Yarrowia lipolytica: one gene and its partner. The protein of the gene in region 1 binds, or shares a complex with, the protein of each later gene. Links are inferred from orthologs where the notes say so. Each region holds a gene or a part of one and is shown on either strand. Other genes may lie near its edges. The genes, in order: YALI1_C33217g and YALI1_E18081g.

Region 1 (3,050 bases):
ACTCACCGGAGTTCGGGATCTTTCCAGTTTCATAATTATTGAGAAGGCCGAGGGTTCCGAGTACCCTGTTCCCATGCAAGAGCTGATAGCATACAACGAGGCTCACCCTCCCAAGCCGAAAAAGAAGAAGCCTATCAAGAAGGCTGCTCAGCAACCTACCAAGGAGGAGGGGAATGAAGGAGACGAGGAGACTCCTGCTACTGAGGAGGTGGTTGCGGAGGAAGAAGAGGAAGAAGAGGACGAGGCTCCTCCATTGCTTCCAGATCCCAACCACGAGTTCTACCACTTCAGTCTAAACACATCTCGGCCTCTTCTAGGCGCCAACCAAAACACTACCTTATATATGGTTACGTGCAAGGAGGACGGCGAGCTTTTGGCAAAGTGGCTGCCATACCATATGGGCGAGAAGGATCCCACCAAGCCTCCCAATGAGCGTGACAAGTTCATCCAGCGAATCAAGCAGGTGAGCGAGATCATGCTTCCTCGAGAGCTGATTGCCACATAATATAGACGACGTGGGAAAATGTAAAATAGTATATATTTCTATATGATGCATGCTGGAAGAAGGCATACGGTTGTGTAAGTAGTTGCACACACCAAAAGGATTGTAGGTTAATTATGCTGATTTTTTCTTAGGATGATACAGTTATGCCATCTGAACATCGCCGTCTCCGTCCTTGTTCTCCATCTTGACGTTTTGTCCTGGCGGAGCCTGAGAGTCCTCCCGTTTCAGACCCTCTAGCGTATCGTCATCTCCAAACACACCGGCCTCACTGGGCTTGATCCATGCGTAGTAGAACTCGTCCATGAGCTGCTTGGCAAAGTCAGGCCGGCTGATTTCTTTGCGGAATGTAGCGTACTGGAGCAGTTTCAGAACATGAAGACAGTTGGGGTAGACCAGGAACCTTGCATACTTTGGCTCTCGCCAATACTCCAGGTATGAGAGGTAGTTGAGGAACTCTGGTGACTCTAAGTACTTGTTGTGTGCCAGATATGACAGGTATTGCGGGTTTGCCAGCGATTGAACAAACTGTGTTAATTGAACGGGTCATCATGTCACGACGTGGGTCATGTTTGTGGCGAAGTTCTGACGTCGATACTCACCTCCAGCTCGGCCTCAAAGCGAAGAGACCGGTCGGGCTGTTCGGATCCGTCCTGGATGCCGTCGGTCACAGGTTTTTCGGCTGTTGCCACCTCCGCCATTTTCCCGTGGATATTGTGGTGTTGTTGGATTTCAGGAAGTCGCTTGCAGGATATATGCAAGTGCAGTGGCACATAAAGTCGGCATTGAAATAGACGTGTCAGTGGGCGCCTGCTCGGGCAAGAAATGGAACCTGGCAGTTATTATCGCTAGTGGATATTTATGAAAATGTTGAGACCGGAGACCCCAAAACAGATGCCGCAAATACCGCAATCTCGTTGTCCAATCTAGCCCTACACGTGACGAAAGCCTATTTGGCTATCATGGCTGCTGAGTGCAAGGTAAACGGTAAACTACAAGTAGGCTGCTGTTGCATTGCTACCACTCTCCAAAACCGACAATGTCAAAGCCCCAGATTGTCAAGCAAGAAACAATTACCAGTCCAGATGGACTCACTTCCACAACCACAACCGTGGATAGCGACGGAGTGACCACCACCACTTCCACCTGCGGAACAGTCTCCACAACCACTGTTGTGGGCCCCGACGGCACTCATACCGCCAGTGAAGGTGACGCTGCCTTCGAATCGTCTTTTCCCAACCTCGTCAAGATCCCCGTGGGACAACCCCAAGAAGCAAATGGGACGACTCCCATCAACAGAAGAGGCGCCAACCCCAGCTCGTCGGTTCGCAACAATTACAAGCACCCGGACCTCCACTCCGAGCTGACCGCCAAGAGTTTTGGAAACGGTATGTTTTCTCTCCTTGACCTGTCCTTGATTGGTTTGGTATTCTCTGTGCTTATCTTGGGTGCCCTCGTCGGCAAGATCGTCGACCACACCTACTTTGCCGACAAACGAAACTTCCTTAACATCTTGTTTGTCAAGAATGGATGGCTCTGGACCACAATTGCATTTGGGTACATTGTATACGAGACGTTCTCTGGTTCAATTGGCCTGGGTGTCTCCTTTGGCACAAACACCTCTACGGGAACCCGAACTGGAACCACCCACGACGGAGTGTCAGAAACTAATTCCGATAGCAAGGCCAACGCTGCTCTGAAACTGCTGGTCGGCATCTCTGCACCTACCCCCATTGGCCAGCTCTCCCGATACATTATCCACTCTCTGTGGTGGCTTCTCTTCACCCAGTGGTTCCTTGGTATCCCCATCATGGACCGGTTCTTTGTGGCTACCGGTGGCAAGTGTGAGTACCAGAAGGAGAACGCAAGCCCTATTACTGGTAAGACGATATCATCAGCATCCTGTAGACGGTCTGGGGGCACCTGGATCGGTGGCTACGATCCTTCCGGTCACTGCTTCCTGCTGGTGCTGAGCACCATGTTCCTCGTCTACGAGACCATCCCTCACATCAAGCGACGACCATACAAGCTTAGTGCCAAGATTGCTCTGGGTACCGCTGCTCTGTGGACTTGGATGTACTTTATGACATCTCTGTACTTTCACACCTTCTGGGAGAAGCTTATGGGAGTCATTTTTGGATTGCTGACTGTCCAGCTTGTCTACGTCGTTATTCCTTATCTGACTCGACCCAAGCCTAGTGTTGGCTCTAACAATTGATAGACGTTGTACACGGTACTGTAAGTATGTGTGCAGGTATTAATAACTTATAAAAGAATAAATATCGTGGCCTAGCCACTGTTAGTCAGAGCGAGTAGCTACTTGCCGATAGAGAACTACTAACGGAGCAGCTATCTCTTGTCAGAAGAGCTATCTATTGGCGCGAACAATGCGCCTTCTCAATCCCGACAAGGGACCCAAGAGAAACGGCTTACTGTGCTTCTCCACAACTCGTTCTACCCTGGTGGGACCACAAACAAGCGTGTATGTGACACCCTGTAGAGAGAGTTGCACCATTCTGTACGCTTCATCGGCATCAACCTCGGCTCC
Region 2 (3,041 bases), on another chromosome or scaffold:
ATCCCAATCTCAATGCTTTCCCAGCACCCAATTTGTCTGTCAACCACCGACAGTCGTGGCGCTTCTCCGATGCTGATTTGGACATTGAGGAGGAGGAAGAGATGGACGGCGAGTCAGAGATCACCACGTCTCCCTATGCATCACCCCGAATCCCTCAGCGGTCTGAACGACGACGTGGATCCACTTCATACGATATCAATGGCTTCATCCAGACTCCTGGAGTTGCCCCCCAGACCTTGTTCAATTCTCCAAGATTGTCCCAACAGTTTGAGTCCTCTCCCCAGACATTGCAAACTCCTCAAACACCCTCTTCTTCGTCGTCTTCAAATGCAGGCTTCCGCAGAAAGAACCATGGCCTTGGACTCATCAAGAACCAGCCCTCTTCTGATTCGATTGGATCATCATGGACATCTCCGGGCTCAGACTTTGTCGAGCAGCACAACTGGTTGTGCCAGACTGCCCCACAGTCGGATCTTGAGAGTGCTGCCTCCACACCCAATGCGTCACAGACTACCTTCCGAAGGTCTGCCTTGTTGCCCTCTCCTCTATTATCTCAACAGCAACAGCAGCAGCAGCAGCAGCAACAGCAACAACACGGCCAGCAGCAGCAGACCCAACAGCAACAGCCTTACATGACTAATGGCAGACACCTTTCTACTTCATCGCTACCTTCTCACGGAGCGATTTTGGAGGATCTTGCTGAGGAAAACCCTGCACACCGACCTTCCGTGCCATATGAACAGACTCAAACTTGGATTTAGGTGATGTACGATACAACAATGCATTTTAATTATCACGTCTTCCCTGGACAATTTATCCACTTGTACCAGTATGTACAGCACAAGTAGTTACACTTTGTACGGTAGCACTATAGACCTTCCTTAGTCTACTGTAGTTACATGTGCTGGTACCGGTAGCTACTGTGACTGCAGCAAAAGGTCTACAGTGCTACCGTACCTCATGTCAGACAGCTACTTGTACTGTACAGTTTCGCACCTACGGTAGTGTACATACTGTATCGGTACTAGTAGATAAGAAATGTATCAAACAAATGTATGGGTTTACATTACCTGTAGGCACTCAGTTGCAACCGAAATACGACACTCGTTTCCCTGACCCCCCTGACATTTCCCTTCCTTGTATTATTCTCCAGTAAAACCGAGGCTAGAGAATGTTTTATGACTACTGTATGTACGATACACCTCCGAGGTCAAATTATGGGCCGATAAGCACACTACGGGTATGGGTACGAGACACCACAAACAAGTACTCAAGTAAACAAATGTATGGGGATTGGTGTCATTATAAAGAGGAAGACCTTGTCCTGTCAAATGGTGAGTAGTTGCTGATATTTTCGGTGGCGTATGTTGGTGTAGTCTACATCACAGAATGATGGACAATATGGTTGCCAGCTGTTCATACAACATTGCACAAGGGTTAGCGCGGAATATTATATGAATACATGCGGGCCGCACAGTTTGGTGGGAATACCTACCTACAGTACTGTAGACACCAGAGAGTGGGGCTTTTATTATGCCCTCCCATAGTCAAGTCTATCGATGTTGGTTTCAAATAGCGAGGTCAGTTGAACCATGTCGTAATCTACTGAAAGTGGTAGTCCAGCCAATAAGATTGGACACGTGCTAAACATATTGGACCGAGACATTCGACCCTAGACTTTTCCAATTGTGGTATTACGGAAGTCTTTTTGAACTTCGGTCTCATTTCCGCCTCCTCGTTTCGTTTATTGCGACTCGCATCCACATGCATGATACCTCCGGTTGAGATGGGTGCATACAGCACACATCTCCCAGAAAGCCAAATTATTAATCTCACTTTGGAGTATCAGAAACACGCGACGAAGACACATAACATGGCGGACCGACTGACCCAGCTACAGACGTGCGTGGATCAAATGCTGACCCAGTATTTCTCGGCACTAACGCACATTAACACCAACCATGGGTTCAAGTCGTTAGCGGGGGAAGAGTTGGTCAAGGACGATACGGTGCCTGTTGTCACAGACGAAGAACGCGAGAGAACGCTAGAGGAGCTGGCGAAAGACCTTGTGGTCAAGTCACAACAGATTGATTACCTCATAGATTCGTTGCCAGGTATCGGTTCTTCGGAGGAACATCAGATGCAGCAGATCGAAAAGCTGCAAAAGGAGCTGGAGCATTATGATCAGGTAACAGAAGACGTCATCAAGGAGAAGGACGAGTTGTTGGAGCACTGTGATGAACTGATTCTAAAGCTCGCACAGAGAAAGGCCCACATCGACGTGGAGAGCATGTAAGGATGGGCAAACACCCGATAAGCCTGCCCTGCGAAACGGGCAGCAGAAAAAGAGGCACGACGGGTAAGACTAGGCCTGCTCACATCCTACCGCGAGGCGTTCTTATCACTGGTAATACCAGAAGCCTCTAGCATCTTGTGGAGCTGGAGCACTCTGTTCTAATGGCGACATCTTTATAGAGTGCATCAATTTTTGTATTGTATGTATTATAAATAATCAAGAGGCTGCGACAGCGGCAACCTCAGTTTTTGTAGCGGTGGCGGTAGTCACGTCCCCAGTTGTAGGATCTTTCTCTTCATCCTTTTCGGTAGGCTTGATCTTGTTCTCCAAAGCTTCCAGTCTACTTTTGACATTTGCAAGTTCAACCATTTTATCAACAGCACTCTGGAAGTGGCCCTGTGCTATACGAAGCGTGTATGGTGGCATGATACCAAACATCCTGATGGGATCTGTTTTCGCTCCCTTCTCCTCCTTCTTGCTGTGTATCGTGAATTTCTCACTGGCATGTGACACCGTGATCTGGGCGCATTGGGGCCGCTCATCATAGCTAAACCTCGATATTCGAGAATTAAAGGTCGAAGCGGCCATGAAATTGTCGTAGTTGGTCTTTGCAACGTCCAAGTGGCCCTGCTTGAGCTCTTCGCACATGTCCCTGGTCAGATGTTCATAGTCATCCACCAACTGGAGCAAAGTCACAAACAGATCGTCGTTGCCAGAGCTTCCATCATCGTCCTCACGGGCCAGA

Evidence for each region.
Region 2: YALI1_C33217g (region 1) and YALI1_E18081g share a complex: the UniProt entries of both Schizosaccharomyces pombe proteins name them as parts of the mediator complex. The link is inferred for Yarrowia lipolytica from reciprocal best matches to the Schizosaccharomyces pombe genes med31 and srb7.

The regions. Positions count from the first base shown.
Region 1 is NC_090772.1:3,319,911-3,322,960, reverse strand, and holds YALI1_C33217g (uncharacterized protein), read right to left. Parts: upstream 1,204-3,050; coding exon 1,105-1,203; intron 1,031-1,104; coding exon 647-1,030; downstream 1-646. Other genes in the region: YALI1_C33245g (uncharacterized protein), read left to right, coding at 1-505; YALI1_C33214g (uncharacterized protein), read left to right, coding at 1,542-2,720; YALI1_C33193g (uncharacterized protein), read right to left, coding at 2,871-3,050. UniProt on the Schizosaccharomyces pombe protein: Component of the Mediator complex, a coactivator involved in the regulated transcription of nearly all RNA polymerase II-dependent genes.
Region 2 is NC_090774.1:1,806,367-1,809,407, forward strand, and holds YALI1_E18081g (uncharacterized protein), read left to right. Parts: upstream 1-1,768; coding exon 1,769-2,296; downstream 2,297-3,041. Other genes in the region: YALI1_E18025g (uncharacterized protein), read left to right, coding at 1-761; YALI1_E18095g (uncharacterized protein), read right to left, coding at 2,513-3,041. UniProt on the Schizosaccharomyces pombe protein: Component of the Mediator complex, a coactivator involved in the regulated transcription of nearly all RNA polymerase II-dependent genes.